Linked DNA regions of Styela clava. The protein of the gene in region 1 interacts with the protein of each later gene in a biochemical or structural test. Links are inferred from orthologs where the notes say so. Each region holds a gene or a part of one and is shown in the gene's direction. Other genes may lie near its edges.

Evidence for each region.
Region 2: the proteins of DNA repair protein XRCC1-like (region 1) and bifunctional polynucleotide phosphatase/kinase-like form a complex in vitro, tested with the Homo sapiens proteins (3 studies listed by BioGRID and IntAct, with this or other methods). The link is inferred for Styela clava from reciprocal best matches to the Homo sapiens genes XRCC1 and PNKP.
Region 3: the proteins of DNA repair protein XRCC1-like (region 1) and DNA polymerase beta-like form a complex in vitro, tested with the Homo sapiens proteins (5 studies listed by BioGRID, with this or other methods). The link is inferred for Styela clava from reciprocal best matches to the Homo sapiens genes XRCC1 and POLB.

What each region holds. Positions count from the first base shown.
Region 1 is NC_135250.1:11,227,888-11,235,383, reverse strand, and holds the start of DNA repair protein XRCC1-like, read left to right. Parts: upstream 1-4,404; 5' UTR 4,405-4,474; coding exon 4,475-4,525; intron 4,526-5,107; coding exon 5,108-5,302; intron 5,303-5,734; coding exon 5,735-5,893; intron 5,894-6,677; coding exon 6,678-6,761; intron 6,762-7,170; coding exon 7,171-7,303; intron 7,304-7,496. Other genes in the region: maspardin-like, read left to right, coding at 306-1,382; syntaxin-17-like, read left to right, coding at 2,571-3,848. UniProt on the Homo sapiens protein: Scaffold protein involved in DNA single-strand break repair by mediating the assembly of DNA break repair protein complexes. Negatively regulates ADP-ribosyltransferase activity of PARP1 during base-excision repair in order to prevent excessive PARP1 activity.
Region 2 is NC_135258.1:17,043,034-17,050,647, forward strand, and holds the start of bifunctional polynucleotide phosphatase/kinase-like, read left to right. Parts: upstream 1-4,591; 5' UTR 4,592-4,792; intron 4,793-6,472; 5' UTR 6,473-6,493; coding exon 6,494-7,614. Other genes in the region: DNA-directed RNA polymerase II subunit RPB9-like, read right to left, coding at 2,062-2,179, 2,851-2,999, 3,545-3,599, 4,285-4,346. UniProt on the Homo sapiens protein: Plays a key role in the repair of DNA damage, functioning as part of both the non-homologous end-joining (NHEJ) and base excision repair (BER) pathways.
Region 3 is NC_135251.1:20,816,764-20,824,511, forward strand, and holds the start of DNA polymerase beta-like, read left to right. Parts: upstream 1-4,725; 5' UTR 4,726-4,804; coding exon 4,805-4,865; intron 4,866-5,422; coding exon 5,423-5,547; intron 5,548-5,766; coding exon 5,767-5,900; intron 5,901-6,218; coding exon 6,219-6,320; intron 6,321-6,786; coding exon 6,787-6,841; intron 6,842-7,559; coding exon 7,560-7,706; intron 7,707-7,748. Other genes in the region: linear primary-alkylsulfatase-like, read left to right, coding at 721-1,922; putative thiopurine S-methyltransferase, read right to left, coding at 3,638-4,489.

The sequences.
Region 1 (7,496 bases):
AAGAGGGGGAAGCCGAATCTGGTATCGATTCCTTTTGGATTCGAATCTTCCGGATTCAGTATTCTATATTGCCCATCTCTAGCTAAACCGCAGAGCCATTTACTTCATGATAATGGTAAAACATGTGAGCTAAAAGCCTTTCATTATCTCATTCATCTATTTCTTATAATCTCAACATTTTATTTCAGTTTGTTCGTGAGGTTATCTATGATATCGAAGGCTAAGACGGTCATTTTCTTGCCTGTCATGCCAATATTGGTTTTTCCACGAGATAATTTTAATTTTTGAACACAAAGAATTGAGGTATGAATAAATTGGTCGCAACCAATGAATACCTTAGTTTCCGTAATGCAGTTCCATTGAAAAGAGTGATTGTAGATGAAGGGGATTCAAAAGTTTGGAGCTTATATGATGCTGGACCAAAGACTGTAAAATGCCCAATTATTTGTCTCCCACCAGCGGCTGGAAAAGCTGATGTTTTTTACCGGCAAGTGTTGGGTCTTTCCGGCATGGGGTATAGAACAATAGCATTGGATTATCCAGTTTACTGGACCGTTGAAGAATTTTGCGTTGGCCTACGAAAAATTATTGATCATCTTCACTTGGATCAGATACATATATTTGGTTGCTCGCTGGGTGCTTATCTTGGTCTTAAGTTTGCTGAAAGAATGCGTAATACGCCATATATTGCTTCAATAGTTTTATGCAATGGCTTTACAGATACTTCTGTGTTCAAATACACGAGAGCATCATCAGCTTTTTGGCTCATACCTGGTTTTCTTTTGAAACGACTGGTAATGGGCAGTTTCACTCGAGATGTTACGGATGCCCCTCAAGCGGATGCAACAGATTTCGTTGTTGAGTGTCTTGAAAATCTCACTCAACAAGAAATTGCATCACGTCTCGTACTTCATTGTAACGGGGATTATGTTAGAAAGCCACATTCCTTACAACACATTGCTGTTACGTTAATGGATGTTTTTGATGAAAGTGCCTTGTCACAAAGTGTTAAGGATGACATGTACAAATGCTTTCCAAATGCAAAGCGGGCTCACTTAAAGACAGGTGGTAATTTTCCATATTTAAGCAGATCTTCTGAAGTTAATTTGCATCTAAGAATTCACCTAAAGTCTTTCGAAGGAACTAAAGCTTCAGCTCGAGAAGCACCAAGCCCCCATGATGCGACCAATTTATCACCTTCTATGCAAGCTGTTCCATCAGATGAAATTTTTCAGGAGGAAAATAGCGAAAATGATGATACGAAGCCAAAGACGTTATTAGATTTGTCAAAGTTAAATAAAGATTCAGATGATGAAATGTCCATGAATGAACCTCCGACAATTGAAGTTGATGATAATGAACCGATCGATTTTCCTATCTAAAATGTCCATTTATTTTATTCTTGCTATCAACTGTGCAATAACGAATAGTGGCCAGACTAGAGCATAGTCTACCAGTTATAAATTGTTTGAATCTTCATGTTATAGAATAGATCATGCCAACTGCTGCCATTGGGCATGTATGTTACTATGATAAAAAATATGTTTTTTTTGCTTCTGCTTATCAAGAAAAAAACAAGCTGAAACTATTCCTGATCCTTGAATATGTTACTCAGAGTGCTTATTAATGTGGATGTAGGTTCTGCTTATTTGTTGCCATAAACTCATTTACTTTCATGGAGTGGTGGTCATGTCAACCTTATCATATACAGATCAAGTGTTACAAAAACTGAAAACAATATCGCCGCAGTAAAATCAAGTTACCGTAGCTATTGTCACATTTTGAGGTTTTTGAGAAAAACACCATTTTGTAATAGTTTGCTTCTAACAGCCAGGACATTACTACCTAAAATAAAGTTGATACAGATAGCTTTGAAAAAAGATGTCCTTCTTCAATAAGGAGAGAAGTCCCTGTCACATAAACTGCAGTACTTTGGTTTTACTGTGGCGATATGACGAAATTGTTAGTTTTATTTGTGTAATATGCATTTCAGAGGTATATTTTGTAGTTATGTATTGTCTATCGACCCTATAGCTTTGTACCTACTGCATTATATCATTATAAATGAAGTTTTTTTGTCTTTTGCTGATATGTTCCTCTTATATCTTTATATGCATTGTTTGATTATTGCCTTTTTATCACTGGTGCTGTAAAAATTGATGTCAAGTGTCGCTCACCACTTGAGGGAGATAAATATTGTTTAAAAAGGGAATCTATGTGTATACTTATTTTTGGAGTCGATCAAAAAACCCATGACCGCCTACGGCGCATAGTAGTATATATGAAAACCAAGTATTAGACCACAAAATGTAATAAATATTTACGTAAAGTTTTGCAATTTCATATCAATAAAGTTATTTCACATTTCTGTCAATGTGTGAATATTCATTACATATATTGCTTGATTTCATTTCACATTTTCAGTTTTTGCCAAGAAATTACAGCCTGTAAAATTGTGTGATTTTTTTTTCAGGTGTTACTTTATATTTTATTCAATCGATGGTGTTTCGAATAAATCCAGCTGGTGATTGTACTGTGAAATTTGTTTTAAAAGATTCAACTTTGGCACTATGAATTGGAAACTCCCGTATTTATTCAGGAATCCGTTGGATTTTATAAACACAAACAAAAAACCACCAGAACAGGTCAATGGTGAACTTTTAGATGACGAAGAGGATGATTTAGGAATAAAACTCGTACAACACAAAGGAACTGTACCATTTCGAAGAGTTGAAAGCTCTGTACACACATTTGTTAATGTAGCATTACCAGCCGATTTGGACAGGCTTCACAGACATCAATGCAATATTAGAAAATGGAGAAAGTCAAAAGAATTTTGGAAATTACAAGAAGAATATATAAATTCTGGCAGAACGGTACAACAACTGACTAGAAATATTAATGAAATGGAATTACTTAGGGCTAGAGTTATTGAAGAAGATTTACCTATTTTTGACCAACATCTGGATTTGGCAAAAGAAAAAGCGAAAGCATCTATAAATGAATTTTTAGAAATACATGATGAAGGATTAAAAAGTGACGGATCAATTGTAGGTTCCTTGGATCAACGAAGCAATAAAGATAATCCAGAAACTGTTGGTAACAGACTATTACAGTCTTCTGTTTCAGGTACATCTATTTCAAGTCATACAGTTGGAGATCATTTTGTATCAAATTACCACGGCTCTAGTGAAAATATATCCAATATGCCTGAAGAAAAAAACATACATGAGGATGCATTTGTGCAGTTGCGTGGTAATAGACTTGTCATAGAGTCAAGTTGTTCTAGCAGAGGGGACTTAAATGAATATGGGGCGTACGAAAAACAAGATGATGACACATCTTCTGCAGAAGAAGCAGATGAATCAAATTTCCAAATCTTAGAATTGGATAGTCGGCAGGAGGAAGCAAATGTTGAGGAATGGTGGGATAAATTACGAAAAGACATTGTGGATTTAAACACAGTAATGAACGATTTTTCTTCCCTTGTTCATGATCAGGGTAAGATGGTGGATGACATATCAAGTAATATTGAAGACGCTGAAACTAATATAAACGAAGGGAAATCACAATTAAGAAAAGCAACAATACTAAAAGCTGCCATGTTTCCAATTTTAGGTGCTGTCGTTGGTGGTGCTGTAGGAGGTCCAATTGGGATGGTCGCAGGATTTAAGCTTGGGAGTGTCACGACAGGCCTAGCAGCAGCTGGTGTCACTGGAACTATAATTGGTTACCAAGGGGGTAAAGCTCTCAAAAAGAGGCAAGATGCTAATAGTTTTGAAATGAAAGAGATAAAACAAAAACACGAAGAAACTGACAATGTTATTGATGATGATACTACAACATAGCAGTACATATTTCACAATTTGAAATTTTATTCGTTCCGTTGAATACATGACTATGTTACCATATTTCAACTATACTTTCAAATTGTTTCTGTATGATTAATCAGTATTTATTTGAATTGAAATTTAAAAACATGACAATTGTATCAAATTTAGAGTTTTGAAGTTTCCACCAAGTGACACATACCAAATATGTTTTCGATTCAACCAACTGCTTGGTAATCTTCTGCACTTATATATACCTATTTTCCTCCATCGTTGGCTTTCTTATTTTTATAGTCTCTCCCCTGCTTTGATTGCTTTGTGTTAATTAGGACTGGCACCTCCATGCTTTAAAAAGGATGTTATATTTGTTAAATAAATTCTGATCTCAATCATACTAGAAAATTTCAAATACGTTGTTAACAAATTATTCATTAAAATTTTGAAAATCGGTTAAAATTTGGATTGAACTTTTATTTAAGTTAGAAATACTCTGTGGTCATTTGTGTAACAATCAGTTATCACTTGCTCATGAATTCTTTTATTTGTTGAATTTTGTTATGCCTTCTCTAGTATTATTTATGTTTAAATTTTGTTTTAGAATAGAATATGTTTCTTTCCATAGGTGATGGTATCTAGATTATAAAATGCCTGTTGTAAAAATAAAGCATATTGTCTCGTTCAGTAGCGAAGAAACTGTAAGTACTTAAATTCAAAATTTTTGCTTTTTGGGGTTAAAGTGAAAGATTTCTTTCTCGTTTTATTTGTCAATTAGTGGTGACCATAGATTTACGTAAAATAAAATTTGAAATTAGTGCTATGAAAAACTTTTTTTTTGATTAAATTATCACTGGGAAAATAACATTTTTTTATTGAAATCATGTTTATGCCGTTTCAATATAACAAAGGTATAATATAAAGTTTTTAGAACTTCAGTTTTCGATTGAGTTTCTATGAAATTATTCACTTGTCATTAACCTGCAATGTGGCAGTAGCTCCTCATGCATATAATGCAAAGATGCTCCAGCAAGAGTGAAGATTTCATCAAACGAAACTATAGAAACATATTTGTCTGATTGTGCACCATGACTTTTGAATCATTTGTAAACTTCAGATATGGAATACAAAATTATGCCTTACTGCGTGGGAAAAATGCATTACTACTCCGTGTCTTACACAATTGATTTTATAAATAAGACATTTTTCTTGACCCTGGGTTATAGCCTGATATCAGTGTGTTTATTTTCCAACATTTCATTATTAAATTTATTATACAACAGCCACATAAAGCTGACAACCTTCTCAATGAAGACTCATCACGGAAATGGAAATGTGCTGCAGGTGAGAAACAGGCGTGCATTGTTTTCCAACTTGAAAAATCAACTCAGTTATCAAGCATTGATATAGCAAACGAAGGATCGGCTTTTATTGAAGTTTTGGTTGGAAGATCGAGCAATGACAATGTGCAATATCAGGCAAGTGGAATTGTGCCAAGTAGTAGGTTTAATATGTGCATTAAATATCAGTGTTTTGGTTTGAAATGGCATAGGACCCAGATCCAGAACTTAAATTTTCCAACTCTAGCTGGGTTCCGGCTCCTAAGCCATTGAGGGTTTTTTGGTATGATGAATCACTATCATAAAATACCAGCTTAATAAATGCAGACAAATTTTCAAATTCAAATTTTAAATATGCCTTTTAACTTGAAACTTTAGATTTATTTTTAGAAATTAAATTTATGAAAAATTTTAAGCTGCAAAAGATTTTCTTATAAAGTATTAAGAAATTATGAATGTGAAAAAATAATTGAATGGTTCGAAGCTAAATCCATTGAAATTTCTGGTGGCTTCGGTTCCCTCTTGATAAGTTCTTAAGTTTCCTCTCAATAACTATTTACTTAATTTCAGGTTATTCTTGTCGCATCCTCATTCATGAGTCCCCAAGAAAGCAGACAAGGTTCACCACCCAATAGAGTCAGAATCTTTAACAAAGACAAACTTACATCAGACATTGCATCACAAAAATGGGACCTGGTTAAAGTTGTTTGTACCCAGCCATTTAATAAGGTTCATCATTCAGGGTTTTATTATTCTGTAAATCATTTTAGAATTAACAATGCATAAAAAACATTTGGTGTATTGGACTTGGAATGAAAACTCGATTTCTGTAATTCATGAATTAATCAGACATATTTGATACTTTGGTGCAATCATATTGGCCTGCTCACCAAGTTCTTGTTGAATATAAAATGTCAAGGGATCATCCTTTTTGCATCTGTTCTTCATTTATAAAACATTGGTGTATTTAAAAACCTTATAATATAATACATTAATAAATAAAATCAGTAATTCTCAATAAGAAACTAATTTTTTCATATCTATTTGCTGGGGTTATGCAAGACTATCTTTCTTGGCTCAATGACTTTGTGCTTGTGGATCCTTATACGGTATAATGCAAGGATACTGTAGCAAGAATAAAGATAATTATTCTATGTAGTTTATGAATGTTTCTGGCTGCTGCATCCTTGCACAAAAATATTTTGTTTTATATAACAGTGCGACTCTCAAATTACCTGGGTCTAGCTTTGATTTTTCAATTCCCATTGTTAAGCAGCAATCATGAATGCTTTTTGCAGAAGTTCCTGATGGAGCCTAAGCGTTAACTTGAACAAAAATATTTTGTTTTATATAACAGTGCGACTCTCAAATTACTTGGGTCTAGCTTTGATTTTTCAATTCCCATTGTTAAGCAGCAATCATGAATGCTTTTTGCAGAAGTTCCTGATGGAGCCTAAGCGTTCTATATAATGTTTCCCTATTTTATATTCTTTGTTTTACATTATTTTTACAGAGATCAACATATGGTTTATCTTTCATTAAATTTCATACCACAGATGATGATATTGAACAAAAGGAACCAGAGGTTCCTGTCAAGGTATTTCAACATGGTTTTAATTTAAGTCGGTGCGATTGAAGAATTTATTTGTGGTTTTGCTGTATTGACGTTTGGACATGGGCAAATTATTTTTCCTTGTATGAAATTAGTAAGCCTGTGATATACAGGGAGACACAAAAAAGGAAACCGATAAATTTCGTGATCAATTCTATGAAGAAGAAAAAAATTATTTTACCCTTGAACTTCTGTTTGTGTATGGTTGTACCGAAAAGTTTCAGTAATCTAGGACGTTTTGCACAAAACTTATGTTCTCTCTAGAATATTTTCCAATTCAAATAACTTGTATATTGGGTCACCCAGTACTAGTCAGAATTGTTTCATAATATAATGACTAGTGTTGTGATTTTTGTTGGCGTTTTCTGTAAGTTTATAGAATATTTATTTTCAGCAAAAAACTAATGATGGTCGAAAAACATTCGGCAGTTTTAAAATTAAAGAAGAAACTGATGATTCCCAATCTATTCCACCTGGAATGTCAATGAAGATGTACCAAATGGCAAAGAAAGAAAATTTAAATACAAGTTGGTATCCATGGTGATCAATATACTCACCCTCTTTGATGAAAACGATACAATATTTTGCCTCGATGTTTCGAATATCTTTACAAACAACACACGATTCATCAGGTCAATGAATGGATGACAAATTTTTTGAAATTCAAAGTGGTTTGAAAACTAGACAAGTTAAACGGGAATCTACTAAACAAACTAAAAA
Region 2 (7,614 bases), on another chromosome or scaffold:
TTCCATAGGGAGTAAAATTTAAAATTGACCTTTATTACTAACCCAATAGTTTTCACTGCTCTATATAGATAATAAAAAATTATCCTTCAGGCTGAATTTAAATTACTAACAAATTTTTCGTGCTTTATGGGATGATTCTTGAAGTTTTATTAAGTATATGATGAATTTCTGGATTGTATTAAAATTTTCATGTAAATGAGGTGAAGTATTCCACTTATAATTAAAAAATTGAATGACTTTTTTTCTTGCTATTATATCAGTTTCTATGGCCTATTCCAATACCTTACATTGCTTTTAAGAATAAACATTCCCTCTTAACTGAAATTTATGCTTGTTTTGCTTAAAAAATTGGTTGTTCTTAGTCTAGTTGTGTTGAATTAGCTAGATGTCGATATGTTCAATGATTCTCATAATCACTTATTCAATCCTGTGTTGATTTTTTTGTTGCTTTAATAACCCATATCTAATTACTAATACAACAGGGTAAAGCTATGATTATTTTAACATCTCGTACTAAATAATTTTAATACAAAGATGGTTCATATTTTCGGTTTCCATCTGATTTATCTGTAGTTAAATTGAAACCATGTATGCTAATATTATTTGCTTGCAACTGTTACATTCTTTTTGATTTTGATGCGTTAACTGTCGCTAAAACTACCATTAGATTTCATTGCTGAAAATATTTCAATAAAAACTGAAAAGGGCAATAAGTTTGTGCAATTGTATGGATCGTGCAGGTTCGGTAGTATGGCAAATTACAGTGATCCTGTAACCAATCAGTGTCCGTAAATAGTTAACCAGCTTCTTGTGTCAAATGCATGGAGTTGATGGCAGGAGAAGCTGTGAGCTCACACATATTTATTCCTATGGGATTCGAACCCACTCAAGGTAGTCAGAGGTGTGGTGTGTGGTGACATGCATATTCCTAAGCTTCGCACAATGCGATAGCCTGACTATACTTTCTGCAACATTATTAGTTCTTGGATGTGTAAGTGAATGCAAAAATTCTAGAATACACCCTCACAGATAAAAGCAGTGCATGGCAACTTCAGGAACACGGAGATGTCACAAGAAGATTGTGACCCATGCGCTTTGTATGCTAAGATTGAAAAAATAGTCAAATGAGAACATGTTCTTGTGGTCCAGGATAACATAACAGAACAAATTAAGGGCAACTCTTGACCTATCATAGTTTATTTGGCCCGTTTGAGCCAGTTGAAAAGGGTATTCGGCGCTTTCACACGAATCTCCATTATCCTCCAATTTTGAGTGCACTTTGAATGTGAAGCATTGTTTATGTTAGGGACTATTTGTACACAATTGACTGGTTTTTATAAGGGGTCCCAACACTTTCGGTGTGAACAGTCGGTTTCAAGTCACAGTTCTAGAGAATCATGCACCAGAGGAACAGGTTTGGGCTTGAATCTTTAACAATTAATGCCATGCTCATCCCGCTATATATTTCAAATCAACTATTTTGGCTAGAATGTACACAACTCTACCGCATTTGTTTTCTCATCTGTTCTGGCATCACATGCCCGCCCAATCATTTAATAGAAAAAGTTTATTCATTGTATTTTTGAAATTTAAAGACGAATTTTACCTTTGTAGCAAACGGGTTCTACTACAAGTATTCACAATAACATGCATAATGAAAGTCTTTATAACTTATAGATTTCGTTCAATGGAGCAGTTATATGGTTGAATCATCGTTCATCAACATTGCGTACCTATTTGATATGGGATTCCTAGCATATATTTCCTAAAAATTTGGTGAAACATACCATAATAAATGTCAATATACAAGAGCTTATAGGTGTAGAGCTTGCAACAAAGATTTGGTTTGTTAATGAAAAAAGCTGGTAAAAATAGTAACACAAAATCTTTAGCAACAAGCACACAACCCTGTCCGATTCCATAGGCTTTGTCAGTTCTTATTAGTGAGAGGTCCTCATGGATTCATGTTGGTCGTTTTGATGACCAAAAGATGTTTCATTCACCTTGTGCATGTATCGATGTATGATTGCATTCAAGTATTGCACAATTTGATGGAATAGATTACAATTGAGTCCATCGATGACCACATTGTGGGTTTGTGCAAACAAAATAAAGTCTCATGCCTTCCTCTGCTCTTGTTGATTGAGATTGGAAGAATACAGCTTCTTTATGCTGACATCTGAAAAATATAAAATGGAAAAGGATAGAAGCAAAGTGAAAGAATAATCAGGTCTCTCATCAACTTTAGTTGCCTAGCCATAACTATCACAAGAGTATTATCTTTCTACTGTTTTTTTCTTCTGATGACAACTTTAGACCATAAACTTGAACCTAATAAAGCATTATCCGCTTACAAACAAATTTGTATAAATATTTTTTTGTGAGCTGGTTCGAAACTAAAATCTTTCACGGCTTACAAAACACCACAAATCTTCTGCAATTAAATTTGGTCTTGACTCATTTATTTAGCAATGATAGCTTCGAGCTTGTTTTGATACAAGCAGATGCTCCCTCCCACATTTTAATACCACAAGCATTGGAAAATCAGACAATTGAATTTCTTTTCCATAAAACACCTGGCAGAAAATAGGTTGGTAGGCAGTAACAAACTGTGATACAGAATTATTGTTAGATTGTACAACTTATCGCATCTACGTATAGATACGTACCATTTCTGCATATCTGATAATAAATCCTAATTATTAGATGAACAGCAGATCTGCAAGATATGCTATGACATTCATAAAGATGTATAAAAGCCTACCTTATGATCGATGGATCTAATCCAATCAAAAACACGGTAATTATAAGAAAAAAAATTTGAAATATACATTGTAACTATAAACTAACTTGGGACATGAATGATCCTTTGTTCGTGGCAAAGTTGGATCTTGTGCTACATCAGCAATGATTTGTGTTAATTCATCAACTTCATGGACAATCTTATTTACATAAATACATGCATTGTCAGCTTCCATTTGAAAGTCACAGTTACGACACTGAAAGAGAACATAAGGCTCAGTTAAATATAAAACTTGAACTAAACTTCTTCAAAAATCATTAACAACTGATATGATTTCTTGATTTTGTGGGATATTAAACAAACAATTTCAGGTGCACATTGTAAAACCAGAATGTTTACTCAGTGATTCCCAACCCCAGGACCGTGGACTCGTACATAAAAGCCTTGTTGAGCCTTGAACCTTGTCGAGGTTGCGAAGATATCAGGAAAAAAAAGCAATAAGCACAAAGCTTAGGGGTTTGAAAAAACATTAACTTCTAAATGGTATTTATCGTATGTAATAATCTCAAATAATAAACAAACTTGGTAAAATCAACGTTTGTATAATTTTCATGTCTTGAGTCGGCTGCGATTCATTTCATTTCAAAAATGGTTCATGCCCAAAAAAGTTTGGGAATGTGCAAGTGCAACTTCATCTACTGGGTTAAATAATAATATTCATTTCAAGTAAGGAGTACACGGACATAGGTAGTTCGAAAAGAATTATCCTATATCTATATTCTATTCATTAGCTTATCTCACTGAGTAGAGTAGAATTCTGTTCTGCTTGTCTTCTTTTGGATAGAGCATGTTGTTGCTAAAAAGTTGTAATATTAATTTAGTAACAATTTAATGAGACGCACTAATATATGTCTGTATTCATCATTTGAAAAGCATAGAATTATATCTCCTGATCTCAGAAATTGCAAATGACAAAGCCAACCACCGTCAGATGTGGTTCATTTGAGTGTATTTGCATATGTCTGTATGTAAAAATTTTTTATCCACTTCAAAGCAGGTGGCGTATCAAAACGAATTTTGCATATAGTATTCCTAATCCCCACCTGAATATGCCATCCAAAAATTACGTCATTAGGAAGTCATCATCAGAGCTTGCCAAAGCATAACTACGATCGCCCGAAATGGCATCTGCGCCTCAGATAACAAACTTGCTAGCGCCGACGAACTCTCTCATATCGTGATCATTGCGACGAGAAAAATGGATTGCTCGATTTCGAGTGATTGTCTGCACGTTTTGGACGACCATCCTCATACTTTGGTGGGCCTTATTACGCCACTGTGAATTCGCAAGGACGTGATTTTCTGGTGACGTAGTCAGGTGGGGGTTAGAAATGACATATGCAAAAATTGTTGAGCCAGGCCAACTAGAAGTGCATGTAGTACTAAACTATTCCAGACCCAATATGCCAACGCTTACACACAACCCAACTAACAGACTAAACTGTAGGAACTGGGAAAAGATTTAGACATTGTAAACTCACCATTCTTGACAAAATTTGATTCCAACAAAACCAGGTCCTTTTTGGTTAACGTGCTCTTGCATTTTGATGACGAGCTGCACAATTATGCTCCAGAAATACAGAAATATGATTTGTAGCGAACAGACAATGAACACACAAGACAGGCGGACAAAACCGAACAATATGTAAATTGTGAGGCGCTAAAGAGCAGTACCGGCACATCATACACAGTAGGGGAATTCCCGTTGTCAACGGAATTGACCTATGTCGTTATGATTTACCGGGAAAAGATTCGCATTTATTACTAGTACAGTATAAGTTTATTTCGACTCCAAAATCAGCACGACAGAATGAGATTTGTAATATTTTTTTTTTTACATTGTTACTCGAACACCTTACGAAAGATGGCGCAATGATCATTGTGATGTCCGGACGTTGACATTTCAGCATTTGCTGATTCAGGTGCTGGCCGGTTAGAGAAAATTTCATACTGGATTGTCAACATTGGATTTCATATGTATATTTAATGGTTTGTATAACTGTTTTATTTTTTCTATAAATAATTCGCACTCAATAGGGTTGTTAAACGTGTCATCGCCTTTCCTCGGGGCTCCCTAAAACAGTAATATTTTTTTAGACACCATTGTGGGCACTATGATTTTTTTTTCAGTAGTTTATTAAGATTTCGGTCTCTTGAATAAACATGTGCATTTCTATATCGCATGGAACAATAATATATGGTTGTATAAGTAGGATCAAACTTCCCAACTTTATGAGGCAGACTATAATCAATTTGCCAATGGTAAAATATGGCAACCCTGAGCAGAAAATCAAGCACTCTTGAAATTTCAGGCACTTTGAAAAAACATAATTTCCATCATTTCTGCTTTCTTTATTTTTGATTTTTCTGCTTTAAAGTAATCATTAACATTAGGACATATCTAGGTATTTACAAAGTGCCTGAAGTTTCACGAGTGCCTCTTTTTGTATTGAGTGTTGCCATATTTTACTATTGAAAAATTAATTATACCTTATTAAATTGAAAAATTGCATTTTTTTAATGTACAATTTCATTCAAGGTCTAATAAAACTTAACCCCAATGAACTACGAAAAAAAAAAGAAAAAAAAAATTAATGTGCCTGAAAAAGTGCCTGAACTCTTATGTTTATAAAAAGGAATTGAATTTTTTGAGGGCTCGTTAACCCTTTCAATGCGATTTTTATTTTTTATTAAATAATCGTATTTGCTACGCTGATTTTATGCATTTGTACCCCCACAACTAATCGATCGACTAATGAAAAACTAATGATCCTCTGCTGCCCACTGACGACTCGTTAGAAAGCTTATTTAAAGAGCTTGCAGTTGGCGATTAAAAAAAAAAGTTTTTTAAAATGTGGTGGTCTGAGTCACAAACCGGATAGAAAAAGGGCATTTTTTTTTCTTGGGAGTTGAAACTTCAAACCGTGATAAAAAAATAGAAATATTAGCTAAACCCTTTACTGTTACCGCTTCGTGGTTGGCAAACAATAGCATAATATTGCTGTAGCAATTTCGTGATCTAACTCAAAATCCTTTGGTAGATGGAAGGGATAATATGTCTTCTATTACCACCCAAAAAACACAGAAATTTGCATAAATTTCAAAATCACTCCCTCGTTCCGCCGCAAATAAAATTCCCGTTGTAAACAAAAGCGAGATTTATCGTCGCTTATGTTAATCTCGAAGAAGACTTCTTATCAATAAACTAAAACCCGGATAAACTAGACCAACAATTTGCGACCGATTGCTAAATAAAACTATGGGTAACTTGAAGTACCCGCCGTGATCTAGCGAGTTTTGTCGTTGGTACGTATACGTGCCCACCGCCTGGAAAGGGTTAACAGGCTTAAATTTAAAAAATATTTTTTCACTACAATAATAATGACATAATATGTTTCAATTGAGCTCTTGATGGAATGCAATAATACGAGTTAAACATAAAAAAAACATAACTTTTGTTGACCTTATAGGCTATGAACAAATAATTGTAATTGATTGCGTGCCTCATCCTAATAAGAATTTTCTTTAGGGGTCGGTCGATCTTGTTAACCTTGCAGTCTTACCCGCCCCTTTGCGATTATATTTCATGATTACTGTTTATTCTTTTTACTGCAATGTGTACATTGATGATAAATTCGGAAATAAATTATTATCACTCTCTCATTATAGGGTCATAGATAATTCTGTATAATGCTTCAATTGAGGTGCTGTAATGATAGACACGAACCTATTCCATTACCAAATGGTGTTCCTGTCATACTAGGAAGAAGTCCACAAACTAAAATCATTGAGAAAATTTGTTCAAGAAAGCAAGTTGAATTAACAGCAAACTATGAAAAAGAAAGCGTCACTTTGAAACATCTTGGAACTAACCCGTCTATGATTGGTCAACAAGAGATTGCAAAAGGACACGAGAAGAAGTTAAAAGTTGGTGATATTTTCTATTTTGTTGTTCAACAATATCCACATGAAATTATTAAAACGCAAAAAACAACAGCTGAAAAACGAACAATCGACTCATATTTTGGGCCTAGTTCTTCAGAATCCAAAACGGAAACACCAATACCAAAAAAAGCCAAAATGGTAAATGAAGATGAGGTATCGGATGATCAGAGTGATGATGAAAATAAAGTTGCGGAAAAGCTCAAATTTTTACAAAGCAAAAGTCTATCCATTGTGAAAACAGAAAAATCAAAAGATGGTGGTAGAGAGAAAAATGTATTTAGAGGATGGATAAAATCTGACTATCCAGTTGGTTGGGAAGAAAAAGAAGGCTTATTAATTTATCATTCTCCGCAGTTGTATAATTCATCAAAAATAGCAGCATTTGATATGGATGGTACAATAATAACAACAGCATCGGGTAGGACATTTGCAAAAGATCATAATGATTGGAAGATACTTTACGCCGAAGTACCAGGAAAATTGAAAAAGCTTCAAAATGACCAATATAAAATAGTGATAATAACCAACCAACTGGGGATTGGGAAAGGTAAACTTCAACCAAAGGATTTCAAAACCAAAGTCGAAAACATTTTGGGAAAGCTTGGTATTAAAGCTCAGGTGATAGCAATTACGAAAAAGGGTCCGTCTCGAAAACCTAACATTGGAACATGGACTTGGCTGGCAAAACAAGGTAATGGGGGAATACCGATTGATATGTCTCATAGTTATTATGTCGGAGATGCAGCTGGCCGCCCAAAAGATTGGGCTCCAAAAAAGAAAAAAGATTTTTCGTGTACTGATAGATTATTTGCTATGAATTTGGAAATTGATTTCAAAACTCCCGAGGAATATTTTCTTTCACAAAA
Region 3 (7,748 bases), on another chromosome or scaffold:
AAAAACATATATATCTGATATGACACTGGGCTGTAAATCGGAAGTTCTGTTCATGGCTTCCATCACTTATTTTTAACCATATTTCATGAGATGCTCCACATATCTGCTCCAGACAAGGCTCTAAGCCAGTTTGGTCAACTTTTTCTACGAACTAATATGAATTATGATATTGATCATTTCTGTAATTCCTTTTTTTTCTATCTGACAAGAGTAATGATGTATCAATATATAAGTATTATAAATCAAAATCTAATTTCGATTACAACCAGTGGTGGGATTTAGCCGGTTCGCACCGGTTCTATAGAACTGTCTCACGGAATTTTATAAGATCAGCGAACCGGTTGGCATTACTGGTTACTGCCAATGACTTTTCGTAACAGAACCGGCTGAAAAATATGACTTTTGTGATCGAACCGGCTGACAAAAAATTTGATTTCCACCACTGATTACAATACATTGATTAGGTAGGCCGTAGGGTGGTCAACGATGATAGTCGTAAAAGTGCGACTATAAAGAATTGTTTGCGTGTGACTATTTCGCAAAGGGGACACTCTATAATCTACGAAATGTAAAATATTTCTACTTCCATTATGTCAACGATGCCAATTCACTCATCCCAATATTCATGTCGAAACCCGTTGGTGTTTAAGCTAACAGCGTACATAATTTATGAATGTAGCTCACGAAAATTGATTAAGCTAAATTTTTTTTACGTGTCAGGCATCGAATTTGAACTCATACACACACCTGGAGAAACCCCTGATCAAATCACAGTATGGCTGCCAAAGGAAGAAGTTGCAATGCCGGGTGACAACATTTATAAAACCTTTCCTAATCTATATGCAATCAGAGGCTCGCCTCCGCGAAATGTGAGAATGTGGTATCAAAGTCTAGACAAAACCAGAGTTCTGAAGGCGAAATATCTTGTGGGATCCCATACCAGACCAGTTATCGGAAAAGATGAAGTTTATGAAACCTTGACGGTGTACAGAGATGCAATAAAATACATTCATGACCAAACATTACGGCTCATCAACAAAGGCTATTATCCTGGGCAAATTGTTGCTAATGTCAAACTACCCGACTTAGTCGCTCAACATCCGTTCTTGCAAGAACACTACGGCACTGTCGCATGGTCCGTGAAAAGCGTTTTCAATGATTACCTTGGGTGGTTCAGTGGAAATCCGCAAGATTTGCACCCGATGACTGAAAATGAGCGTGCTACACGGATGGCTAGGTTAATAACGTATGCTCAAAGTCAACAAATCTGCGCGGCGGAAGTAATGCTACGTGAAGCTGAAATATCTCACAAAAAATCGTATGAGCATTATTTGTCAAAGGGGAAGTATCTTGTGACTGAAGACAAATGGGCTTTGGAACTAGTTGATACCGTACTTCAGCTCGGTAGCTTAGAAGAAGCTCTCAGCAACACAGCTCGACAAGTGAAAATAAGTGCACTTAGAGCACTAGGCGTTGAAGAAATAAGCGCAAATGGCAGAAATTATTACTTGACCTGTGCATTGGAATTAGAATCGAACATTTCGCTGGATCAAACGAAAAAGGCCATCTCCATAACAATAAAAAGGACCCCCATTGAGAAAGTCCTTGAAATGTTAAGTCTCAAAGTAAAAGGTTTGGAATGTCAGCATCAAAAATATACGATTGGTCTCACATTTTTAGATCTGGATAAAGATTTCATATTGACCCTACGGAATAGTGTATGTGACGTCATTGAAGCAGGTACGGAAGATGAAAATCCACAAGTCCGGCTGACAATGAGGTCTGATGTGTACAAATCAATAATGAATGAAAACAAAAATTGGGAGGAAGAAGTCAAGGCTGGAAACGTTACAGTGGCGAGCGGAGCATTGGAAACCTACATGAAATTTTTAAAATGCTTCGACCCCCTCAACTATGATTGATACTTTGAGATTGGAAAACACAACAAACAATTTTTATAATTTCTCTATGAAGTGGAAAAATATGATCTAATAACAGAATCCATCACCGCATACTATTCATATATATAACCTCTAATTACTGAAGACTAAGTGATATTGGCATGAATTCATATCATACCCTTTTGAATTCGATCATACAACGCGATTCATCATATAAGATTATGTTTAATTTGTGGATAACATCATTCAATCATTAGAAAGTATATTATCAGATCAGTAACAAGAGAGCTATGCTCAAATATATGGACACGTAGCGCCACCTAATGGCAATAATTTTGATGACGTCATAGCAACAACAAAAAAAGTAATAGCCTTCTGAAGAAAATTTTTAACTTTAACCACTGAAAGTTTCAAAGCAATTGGTCCAGTAACCAAAGAGAAAAGCGACTTTTTAAAAACTTGTCAAAGAACAAGAACATAATATTGAAACGATCGCTATGTCCACTACGTGTCCAAAAATAATATCTTGACTCGTATATATATTAAGAGCATTCTAATTTGAAAATGAATCGAGATTTATCGAATGAAATTAAGTTTACCTTGATGTTTGAATATTAAAAGCTTGATTGTACAATAGCCTATATTGAACAAGTTACATTTTATCAGATATGTTGTTGTTTTCGCATTCACCTTAAAGTAGTAAGTAACCCGAACAGTTTGGGGCTTGGGCCGCGAAACATTTACAAATGTACCATACATTTTCGATTAGATCGGGAAATCGTGGCATTATCATGACGTATCAACAATTATGAAACAATGTAAACAATTCATAATTTAGGTACGCCCCCACATGTTGGAAAGTGTAAGTATGCTACTGGGCAGATAAATATTTTGTTGAATTCGGTTGACATTAACAAAGACGCCGGTTTCTGTGGTTCTCATTTTTATGTCCAATAAGTTACATTTGAAACAATAAATAAACCAGGTTTCGATTTTTGTAAGTCACAAAATGAAAATGGATAACTTTGGAAAAAGAAAAGGTAACGAAATAAATGAAAAAAGGGAAGGCTCGAAAAGTTGTAATGAGAAAATATGAATCTGATTACATCAAATATGGTTTCATTGAGGCAGGAAATGATTTTGAGCCAAAAGCATAATGTGTTGAGTGTTATTGTTACTTTGCGTGTGAACTTGTCTCCTATCAAGCCTCGACTCGATCTAATAATATCCAATATGCAAGCTCAAGTTTCGCATAAATAGTAGATTTCATGATTGTGGATACATTGTTTCTTTTCTCATTCATTAACATCTCATTGCGGGTCGCACAAAAACGCCAATAAAGGTGGGTCGCGAACTGAAAAAGTTTGCGAAGCACTGGTCTAGTCTCGATAACAGTCTTGGGACGACGAAATGACCATCGAGTTATTTGATTTATACTTAAATTCTGGAAACACAACTAAAAACTGACAAGTAGCATGCAAAACCACGAAAAATTGGTAATATAAACCATGCCTGAAAATTTTTCTGAGTGATAACTGGCAAAAGTGTCTCAGTGGAAAACATCCATAGGATTTTTAAATTTAGTTGTATTTCTACTAAAATTCATAACAAACATTGTAATGTAAGTGAGGTGACAGGCGTTCTCAATGTCGTTGAGATTAGTCGATGAAAATGATTTACATAATGCAGGAATTACCGGGAACAATAAGCCTGGCACGTATTCAAATAATTTCACTTTATTTGCATGTTATTAGGAAAACTCTTTCAAGTCCCCACTCGGAATCCTCTTCGTCCACTTTATCCCAAGTAAAATATTCGCCGAAAAGTTCGGTCATGTCCGCATCCGTAATATCGAATGGGTTATTGATCCAAGTTCTCTTTTCGCCAAAATACATTGCACTCAGCATGTATTTTGCTTGTTTGTCTAAGACTGACCGCATAATTTCGACGTATGGTTTTCTTGAGGCAAGCTCAATTGTATTCAAGCTTGCCGAATCCCACACCGCGTCGAACAGTCCACCAGCGATATCCGAATTGAATTTAAAATAATCTCCTTCATATATAACTACATTCGCAGTTTTTCCGGTATACACTCGAAAACTGTGATCTTTTGTTGAAACCGATTTTTCGAATTCCACTGAATTTTCCTCAAAAAATTCCAAAATGGCGTGTTCAGAACATTCTAATCCAACCACTTCGTACCCTTCGTCAATCAACCACTTTATATCTGGTGACTTTCCGCACAATGGAAGAAATATTCTCTTTCGAATGGCGTTTGGTAAAAGAGATTTGATGTGCTTTCTAAGCATTGGGCTGGCCTGATCAAATGGATTGTCTTCGTCGCCATGTTCGCAAATATCACCGCCTTTGCTACCTTTACTTTTAGAACGTTCGTAATCCTTTTTCCACCATTCATTCCACTGATCTATGGTTAACAACTTGTGATCTTCCGATTCTGCCATTCCTGCTGTTTGTAACAAACGGTATATATTATGAAACAACGCTTGAATACGGATACGGGCATACGAATCGCTGGTCAAAATATAGTCACTTTGGTCAAAACATAGTTTGCTGATCGAATCTTCCATTGATTACTAGGCGCTGTTCCTCTGTAAAGTCATGTTAAATATATCTGTATAAAATATGTAGGAAAATGATTGTTTAAGTTAATGTATATATTTAAAACATGTGGTCCACAAGTGATAAACTTCTCATAGAAAACTAGGTCGAAAAGGAGTTGGAAATTTGATCTGAGAATTTACATTGGGAACACATTTCTTCGCATGACGGCGTAGCGCTCGAGTGAACGCAAGCCGGCTATTAGGTTTCTGAACCCGCATCACATCACGTATTGCTCCAGGCGTGCACCGCAGTTTTAGCGTTTGCAAATTTGCACATTCAATATGATCAAACGAAAAGCGCCAACAGATAATCCTAATTCTGGAATTACAGATTTTTTGACAGGTAACGTTGTCATACGGTAAGCTTTTGGTGAATTGAGTTGCTAGTCGAATGGAGAAATTAGATGAAATCGCAAATGCTGAAATGCGAGTTACCTAGCATAGGCTATAACGAGCATAATTCTGCGATGGTTTTGTTTTTGATAAGAGTGTAAGAACGATGAAATAAGCCAGATAAATGAATAACTGAACCAGGTATTTCAAAAACCCCATTCTGCGATGACATTCGAGGCTAAATAGCGTCTTGGGGTTTTCCTCAGTGCACATTTTTTAATCCATCAGATTCTGAGATAAGCTAGCCTCGAATAATGAATAATTAACAATTGGATAATCATTAAAAATTGATTGTTGGGTTACTCCGCTTAATTACAAAGAAATCAGACCTAGACTATAATTTTTTCTGTTCAGTCTGAACCTTCAACCAACACTTTGTTGACGTTTAAAGTTTTTTGTTGTCACTTTTTGCTATTGGTAATTCAGTGCTGGATTTTTTGTCAGTCATTCAAATTGTGAATTAATTATGAACTATTATAATACCTTCACCTTCTTTTTTGATTTCAGAACTTGCTGATTATGAGAAAAATGTCAACAGATCATTTCATAAATCAAATGCATATCGGAAAGCAGCAAGTGCCATATCAAAATGTAACGAACCAATAAAAAAGGGATCAGATGCTCGGAAACTGGTCAGAAAAATTTTGTACCACAATCTAAGAAAATAGACGACTAGGCCTATAGGCTAATAAAACGTTATTAACGTTGGTACGAAAATTACCCAAAGTTTATTTTTTGCATGAATCAAACCATTTCGTCGTTTTATAAATTTCATATGACAATTCTGAAATAAATTTTTTTTAATATATAAAAGGTTCGAGGTGTTTATTTATAATATGTATTATTTGCAGGAAGGCGTGGGTGCAAAAATCGCTGAAAAAATTGATGAATTCCTTACCACTGGAAAACTTCGCAAGATTGAGAAAATTAGATCAGATGAAACATCTCAAGCAATATCCCTTCTCACAAGAGTATCAGGAATTGGGTTAGTAGACCTATTTCAATTTTTTAAGAAAAAATAAACTTTTGTTGGGAAATGTAATCGTATAAGTTCAGGGTAGTATTATTTTAATTGCTATTTAGAAAAGTTTCCCTAACATTTCAATCGGTTTCAAGTCGAAACAACCCGTGTTTTTTATTAAAGCCTGTAAGAATCTATTTAAACATAGCTTGCATCTTTAATTGTACTCTGCCTTTTGCCCATTACTTTATATCTTTCTAATTTTGAGTGTTTTTTTATTATTCTCCATTTACTTTAACTGAACAACTTATCGATAACCTTTATTTTCTAACAAAACTATAGTCCTGCCGCTGCGAGGAAATTGGTTGATGAAGGTCTGACAACGCTTGAACTTTTACGAGAAAATATAAGTAAACTAACACATCATCAACAAATTGGACTCAAGTAAGTCTGCTTAGAAATTGTTCAGTTACCCTAGTTCTTTTGATTATTGTTTAAATCCAGTACAGAGTTTGTTACTTAGCTTCAATTTAGGTTTAAAAAGTAACTGAATGTAAGAGATTGTAATATGTAAGTAATAATTGTAATCGAACAAGGAAATGTAATTAATTGAATTTCTTGATCCATTGTTTCTCACACACACACACACACACGGTGATATTTTTTGTTGGTGTTTATTTGATGACCTATTTTGGAAATAAGTTTAGAAGCAACTTTTTTTACTAGGACATGTGTGAACCGATATCAGAGTTTTTGTTTTACGAGGTTAACATTGTTTTGAACCAGGCTATATTGGCTTTTTGTAATATTAAGGAGGTCGATTGAACTGACTGCCAAAATTGTTGTTTTATTTAAACATGTCTATGATATCATTGTTCCTCATTAAATGTACATGAACTCTTCGTTCAAGGTACTTTGAAGATTTCGAAAAAAGAATTCCAAGAGCGGAGATGGAAGTACTTGAAGTATGCTATTCCATATTTCCAAACTTTCTGTATCAGATTCTCAGTTTTATTATATCTCTACATTTAAATTAAACATTTTTCTTTCTTGTGATTCACACACATGCTGTTGTCGGTCAGAATCTGGCCGAGCAAAAACCACGTTTTGCAGCCAATTTTTAGGTTAGAGTATTGGACACAGTAAATTGACAATTCCTGCCTGCTTGATTTGTTATTGAAATTTATTATTAAACATAAACTACAATTTAGAACCAACAGCCTTAGCAGAGATACCTATATACTGTATATACATGCCGAAAGGTCACCCCACCGTATAGGTCGTGCTATTAGTTTTGTGTTAAAAAAGTTTAATTTAGAGTTGACTCGCACATGAGTCGCACTGAAAATCTAGGGATTTAAAAGCCCTTTCCCTAGCTTTTTTGCATAGATAACTTCCTATTTTGTTTTTTTTGTAGGGCATAATATATTCAAAATATGTTTACTTGCAATTGCAATAGCCGAAAATTTTCAATTTTGTTCCGACTTGGTGGCGATTTGCACTTGTGTCAAGCAGATTAGTCGCACCTTATAAGAAAATAATTGCGTCTTATCTGCGAGTATGTACGGTAGTCATTTACTAGCACTGTTTCGGCTATAGTTTTATATTGAAGGTTAAATGAAAAATAGTTCTAGTAATCTATCTAGTCAATAATCTGTTGAATAATTCTATTATTATTTTTAGAAAGTAGTCAATGAAAGAATACAAGAATTGGATAAAGAATACAGAAGTCAAGTATGTGGAAGTTACAGACGTGGGGCATCATCTAGTGGTGATATTGACGTGTTACTTACTCATTCCTCGTTTTCTTCAACCGATAAGCAGAAAAGGGTGAGTTTTGCAACAAGAAGATGATAGAAACGCTATATTATG